2 linked regions of the Caenorhabditis elegans genome follow. The protein of the gene in region 2 interacts with the protein of the main gene of each other region in a pairwise test. Each region holds a gene or a part of one and is shown on either strand. Other genes may lie near its edges.

Region 1 (3,755 bases), on a different chromosome or scaffold from region 2:
AGTAGAGATTTTGTAGAAATAGCGAAAAAGTATTTTGAAATTCAATTCAATTATGTGGAGAAGTTCGAGTATAGTGAATTCTATTTTAGATCAATTTTTCTAATGTTTTGAAGCTTTCAAGTATTTTCGATTGCAAGACCCAACGGTTTTCAAAATTTTACTTTTAGTCTCAAATGAAAAGTTTAGTCAACATTCGGCAAGAATCGGATCAAACGTAGGCTAAACTTAACACATCACAGCTATAACCTACTCGTAAGCAAGTAGCTGATGTAAAATCCAAATAAAAACAGTGTGTGCTTCAATTCTTCCACAGAAAAAAGTACTCACCGTATGATCCAGGTGTGCAGTATGAAAATGAAGCAGAAGACGATGGGAACTGTTGAACCATTTGATGCAAGATTTACATTTAGCTGGAGACGATCCTCTTATGATATGCTCCGAATCTACATGAAACTGCAAACTCGTGAAGCTGTTGAACTTTGAATTGCACGCTGTGATGGGACATTCAAAGGTATTTCCTTTCTTGATATGGGTCATCATGTGCTCTTTCATCTGAGTTGGATTAAAAGTTGAAGAGATTGTTTTCTAATCTGTTTAATGTTTCAAGAAATAATGCTTAATGCTTTATACTACTAGAAAGCTCGATCTTTCTCAAAGTATATTTGAAAATACAACTTTTCTTGCATAACTGAAACTTTCATATAAAAAACTGATGGTCAGATCTGGAAAAAGTAAACGACTTTTAACAATCTTAACTTTGTTTTCAATAAAAATATTTAAAACAAAGCTTTTAAATTTTCTCTAGCTAACAGTAAATTAAAGCCAACGTATCAGTACACATCCACAGAAAAATAATTCCCCTACATCATTTGGCATGCTGGGTGCTAATTCTCTTTTAATTTTTTAGTGCTTTGGCATTAAACATTTATTTTTGAACAGATTCGCAAATCACAGATACCAGTAATCGTAAATTGCATTCAGTGATTATTAAAAACATCATGAAACACATAATTAAAATTTTTGTGTCAATTTCTGAAAATCAATAACACAGATTGTTTCATTCTGCTTTAAATCTGATGTACGAGTGATAAATTGAGTCAACTTTTAGGAAGCTTTTTTCTAGCATTTTTTTTAACGTTTCGACAAAAAAATCGAGTTATTTGTAAGCGTTTGGAATAATTTCAAGTAATTAACTTTCGTAAAGTAGGTTACTTAGTGAATTTTTTTGGTCACTAGAGATAAAGCTTGTACTAAAACGACTAAACTTTATAAAGAAACTTCAATAAAATATCCTCTATACAAATTTATCGGAAAACCACAAGAACTAACCCGATCATTCCGAAAAAAAGGTCTTCTGCAGAACTGACATTCAAACTTCTTTTTTCCACTGTGCATCACCTTATGACGATTCAAGTTTGTCTGAAAAAATATACATGGAAATCAAAATTTTTCTACGATTTTAGTAACTTGTTTTTTGTTGCTTTTCGATTTGAACAATGTTGTAAATTGATAATTAAAAAGAAATTTTCTAAAGATTTGAGTCTTGCGTCTCAGTTTTTCAAGAGCCAAACAAGAAAGTAGTTTACGAAACCATAAGTAACCTGGTAGGCACTTTAGTTTCTACCTATAACCTTTAGTACTCTCCACTCACCTTATTGGAAAACTTCTGGTGACAAATATCGCATTTTTCCATTTTGTAATTTGGAAGCTGGGAGGAATAAAGTCAGAGAGTGTCAGAAAGTGACTATAGGATTTTCTATTCCAAACTTTGGGTGGAGCACAAATTGTTTATAACTTCTCGGGTACTGTCGAAGGTCATTTGGGGGAAATATACAATCCTAGGTGTCAGATATCTTAACAAGTCGGAGAAGAAGCACATCTTCCGACATAACAGATAAGCCGGCTGCCGCTACTTGCCAGATGGTTGGTGACAAACTGGGGTGATATATAGTCAGAGGTCACTTTCATGATTTGGAAGAGAAGGTAGCAAATATAGTGGACAAATTGATATTAAATTACAATTGGGGTCAATTTTAAGAACAGTTACAGTACTTTGGACTGTACGAGTAAAAAAATCCTTTTTTTTTTTTAGAATTAAATTTCCTGTTTCATAGAAAACATTTGTTTGACTGATTTTAAATGTTTCATTCGGTTTTTATTTATCTCTGTAAAGTCTTTTCATTATTGTTAGAATTCAGAATTTTTACAGATTCATGAATTCACTAAAATTTTATGAGTTTCAGGATTTGTTAGTTTCAACAATAGAATCCCCCATCTCCTGCAAAACCGCAAATCACGTGGCGAAAAAAAGCGTTTTGTTCATAGCGTAATGCTCTTCCTTCTTCCTAATACATTAACCATGGCACAAATCGAATAAATTAGCATAATGTGTCCAGGAAGAAGACGACATTGGAAGACGTTTCTGGAGAAAAAGGGAAAAAAGGAAATCAAGTTTTTTCTCTTTTACCTTGGATGTCTGTAATATAGGATTACATGCCGGAAGAAGGTGAAGAGTGCAAAAATATTAGTTTTTAATGGAAAATGCTTTCGATTTTAATGTCAGGAATCGAAGATTCTCCGTGATAAACTTCTGGAAATAATATTTATATTTTTAGTTATCGGCTTTTTGGTGTATGAGATCTGATTTATTCAGTATCCAAAGATAGCTGGAGAGGTCTTACTCAAGAAAATGTTTTCATTTATTTTCAAAAAAATATCACTGTTTCAACAAACCCTTAAAATCAAGCTATAAAAGGCAGAAATGTTTTCAATCGAGATAAATAGGCTCTGATATTTTTTCAGATCTGAAAAATAACTATGAGTTTGATGGAAAGAATGAATGCCATTTTTCAAATTGAACACGTTTCAAATAGTCCATAAAACAGTTAACAATTAATTAATTTTAATCGGGATCATGCTCGACCTCTAAACGTATTATTTCCAAAATTATCCGGTGAAGATTTAGATAAAATATTTAAAAATCCGTCACATTTTTTTCGCATTTTCCGAAAATTTCACAGTTTCAACATAGCTAGAAATTAAATGTATTTTAAATTCAAACTGATTGCAACGGAATTTTAAATGTGAAATATTCAAATGTTTTTAACGTCCAACAAAACCACTGTTTCCTCTGTTTACAGTTTCTAAAGTAGTCCAAAAACCGAAAAATGAAAAAGTTTTGATTTTATTCTCTACTTATTTTTTTGCTATTTTTCATCTTGTACCTTCTACATCATCACTAATTCTGTCTAATGCTCTTGTTGCTCTTCTTCTTCCTCTGCTCATGTTGTTACTTTTTCCTAATTCCCAGCTTTTTTCTCTCTGCTTACCAGTCTAAATAATAAAAATGAGAAATCATAAATACTAAGTTGAAACAAGATACTGCAAAAGTGATATGAAATTAGTTTTAGTGATGTAAATCTTTAACTGTTTCAATATCCTTGTAACTACAGTATACTATAGTATTGATAGTTTTGATAGACTTCCTTAACGCTAGGGCATATTTATGTTTAGTGGTTCTTCAAACAAAAAAAACGTCGCGGGTAGAATATTGACTTTCTTCTCCAAATCTTTCAAATATTTTTAAAATTTGACTTTAACGATTTGAGCCGCCTATTTCACAGCAGCTTTACCAACAATCCGCTCACAATTATGAAAATAAAAATGAAAAAAGGATTACCCCTTAATTCAAATTTTTCCCGGGGTCTATAAATGTTGCACAAAGTTGTTGGAGCGGGACCTCTTGGGAACCATAG
Region 2 (3,755 bases):
TCGAGTTGTTGTGGAATTGAAAGATTCTTAAGTCCATTCATTGTTTTGTTATTTGACTCAATCATCGAATTCTTTCCATTAGTAACAGATTTTCCATTTGTAGCAACCGCTGGTTTATATGCTGCAGATGTCGCTTCAGCAAGATCAGCAGCTTTAGTTTCGGCGGCCAGCTGGAAAAAATATTAATACAAAAAAGTTTTGATCATTTATTTTTATTTCATACAGATTTCAGTTTCACAAAGAGTTTCCTTCACTTTTGTCGGTTTTTTTGAAAATGTGTGTTTTTTGAATGAAACATTTTATCAGCATAAAACTTGAAGCATTTCCTATTCTCAGATCATAACTCGCCGAAAATTTAACTACAATTCTCTCAGGGCAAAAATCCGGAATTTTTGCGAGTTTTATGATGAAAATTTTTTTAAACTATTTGTGAAGTTACACTTTTATCTAAAATTGGCGTTTTTATTTCTCGAATAGTGAAGAAAACGAACCTTGGTGATAGCTCTTGTCTGACTATCCTTCATTTTTCTCAAAACTAGCAATTTTGCCTCTTCTTCTCGTAACTGATTTTCAGCTTCTCTTCTCATATTTAAACGTTCTCTTAATTGTTCCTCATCCGGTTCCTTATTCTTCATTTTTTCATAATGATACCTCACAACTTCCATTTCACTTTCATGAATTGAAGAATTTTCACTCTCATCAGTCATTGCGTATACTTCACCTTCATTATTCGCACGAAGTCCAAATCGGAAACATGTTTGATCAAACTCTTTTCCATTTTCGAGTCTTCTTTTTTTTGGAGCTGATTGCTCATTAATTTCATCTCCCAACTCTTCATCTTCCATATCATCATCATCATTCGCCCGTTTTTGTGGTCCTTGTACAATATCATCTTTCAGTTTAATCTTTTCCTGAGCCTTCAGAGCACTTGCTCGTGTACTCCGCCGCCGTAGATCACTCGGTGAAAGTTGTAAATCATCGGTATCGATTGATGTTGAAGCTCCATTCAAATCTTTTGTAGGTGTTCCATGAAATAGAACAGCTCCATTTTGAATATGTGCAAGTGCAGCGACGGCTGTTGAAGCTGATTCTTCGATACTCAAACCATTTCCATTCTTTTCAGGAATCCCATTCATAGGTGACGATGGAACTTGTTGAACCTTTAAAAACATTGGGTTTAAAAAGTTATTCGAATTTTTTCAATTAAGATTCTAATTTTCAACTAAATTTGAGGTAGCAAAAATTTTAAAATTACACTAAAACTGTCCAAAAATAGACTGAAAATGCTTATTTTCTCATTTATTAGGGTAAACCTTCAGTCTTCTCCAAAATTTGTTATTTTTTGTGAACTGAATTCGGAATTCAGTAAGTTTTAATTTTAGTATTTAGATTGATCGAACTCGCTACCCCATTTTTAATGAAAATTACTTGACATAATAAATATTAAATTTGAATATTCCAAACACGAAATATTTTTTGAGTTCGTTTAATATAACTGTAAATAGAAACACCTACCTGTGCCATATTTATTGTATATAAATACTAAATAAATGGAATCCAGTCAAAACTCAAGTGGAGCGGAGCAAAATAAAAATCGATTAACACCGTTCGTCGAGAGCTTGCATTGGAGTCCAAGAGAACAACAGCAATCAGTTAGTGTTGAGTTTGTTCTGGAATAAAAGTTGAAATTATAATGTCACCGGCACTTATAGTGTAGTGTAAGAAAGAGACGCAGATTAGTAAAACAAAAGATTTGAATATCCAAAACGAGGTGGTGTCCGTGTGACGTCACATCATTTCACCCAATATAAAAGCAATAAGAGAGAGAAGAGAGCGCAGAGAAAATGGGGAATGATGATAGAAAGAAGATACGCAGATAGTGAGAGAAAAAAGCAAAATGTTATTAGGGAAAAAAAGGGAAGGAGGTTGAGATGATCATGGGAAAAATTAAGTTTTTTTTTCTTTTGAAATGTTTGATGAACGTGATCATCTACAACTCATCAAAAGCCACCTACTTTCTACTTTCTACTTTACTTTACCACACTACTTTCGTGTCAATTTTTCCAAGAGTTATTCATATTTCCCGTGGTGGAGAGTTGAACTCTTTTTCTAGTTTTGCTAGTTTTGCTTAGGCCGTACTGGAAAGATTCGCGAAACTCCATACAAAACAATTTAAGATTAGAGCAATTTTGAGATACTGATATTTGGAAATATTCACAGGTTTCTGGGTTCTTTGTGGTCAGAATCTACTAAAGAACAAATCTTTATTCAAAAATCGTTTAGTGAAGCAGAGGTCAACAAGAAACGACACAAACAGTGTTTTTTTTTCGAAAAAAAATTTAAAAAAATTTCTACACTTCTGCGACTTTAAAGGAGAGCGCATTTTTGTGAAATGGTCTCGCCACGCTAGAGCGCGTGGCGGGACCATTTCGAATAAATGGTCACCCCCTTTAAAGTCACAGTATTGGAAAAGAATGTTTTTTGTGTGCAATGCAGATGGTAATATCGTAGAATTTTTATAGTTAAAGAAAAATACAATGTGGCGAATTTTGTGAAAATACCAATTTCGAAACTATGAGGTTTAACTAATTTTGTACTGCAGGCTAGAGAAACAATACAAAATTATTGGTTCAAGGATCATAATTAGGTTGGAGATACGCAACTAGGTGAAGTCTCCGTAAATTTAACCTAGGATAGTCTGGAATTCATGAAACGGTAATCCACCAAAAACCATGTTAGCGAAAATTCAGTCCTGAAAGTAATATATTTGGAATAGATTTGGAAGAGCTGTGGACTTCTTTTCTCTTACAAAATGTTCTAGAACACACTAAAATGGTGGTGTCTTGCACCGACAAGTACGGTGGTAGTACTTGGCACATTCACAAATACAAACATTAAGCGCGTGAGAAACAAATTGAGATGACGGCGACGATGATGCTGATGAAGACTAGGATGAAGATTGAAAACCACTAGGAGCGGCTGAGGGTGCGTGGACGGACGGGGACGGACGGACGAAGAAGATGAAGGAAGGCGGAGGAGGACACATAAGTCAATCGATTATTTCTTGTTTCGCTTCATTCTACTCGAACAATGACACTCGGCCACACACACACACACACACCCTCACACACACAAAACGCACACACTCACTCTCTCCCTACTTTCTCTCTCTCTTTCCATCTCACACGGCCCGAACCTGACCCCAACTGGGATTCAATATAGGTGGTGCCAAGACGGCAGCAGCTGTCCAACTGAATATGCTCAAACGTCTAATCATCATGTCCTACTTGCTCTGCCAACATCGCAACCACTCTCCCCACGTCGGGAGCTGAATCTAAATTCGGTGTTGATTGAACACTTCTAGGTTCGAAACTCTATGTTTCGCGTTCAGAAAGACTAAAAATCTAACAAAACAGTGTTCCTACATATACAGTCTCTAACAAAACTTTTAGTTTCCAAAAAATAGAGCTAGGTGCGATGACTACTACTGATTATCGGATCATCGGAAGGTAAATTTCTAAACCAGGACACCGCTACTTTGAGATCATCACAACCGAAATTGTCTTCTAAAAAGAATAGAATAACCTCAAAATTACGCTAGGATCTATGCGTCCATCTAGAGTTGATGGCAACCTATCAGTATGCGAGATAAGTCGGTAGAAGAGAAGAATGAGAGATGACCAACTTCTAGAAAAAAAAAGCCTATTCATAATGGTCGAAACCCGCAGCGAAACGAGGTCAAGTCATTGAAACTT

Evidence for each region. The genes of interacting proteins can lie anywhere in the genome.
Region 1: the proteins of dcp-66 (region 2) and ehn-3 interact in a two-hybrid assay, tested with the Caenorhabditis elegans proteins (one large-scale study listed by BioGRID).

Annotation. Positions count from the first base shown.
Region 1 is NC_003282.8:5,417,503-5,421,257, forward strand, and holds the start of ehn-3 (Zinc finger protein ehn-3), read right to left. Parts: upstream 1,721-3,755; 5' UTR 1,694-1,720; coding exon 1,652-1,693; intron 1,420-1,651; coding exon 1,330-1,419; intron 961-1,329; exon of another isoform or gene 940-960; intron 667-939; exon of another isoform or gene 646-666; intron 553-645; coding exon 328-552; intron 1-327. UniProt on the Caenorhabditis elegans protein: Together with the zinc finger protein ztf-16, plays a role in gonadogenesis, specifically in somatic gonad precursor cell development. This is possibly by regulating tra-1 gene expression.
Region 2 is NC_003279.8:7,540,488-7,544,242, forward strand, and holds the start of dcp-66 (Transcription factor dcp-66), read right to left. Parts: upstream 1,673-3,755; 5' UTR 1,525-1,672; coding exon 1,516-1,524; intron 1,161-1,515; coding exon 492-1,160; intron 171-491; coding exon 1-170. UniProt on the Caenorhabditis elegans protein: Transcription factor which binds to the 5'-CCATACATTA-3' motif found in the promoter region of pgp-12 and activates its expression in the excretory cell.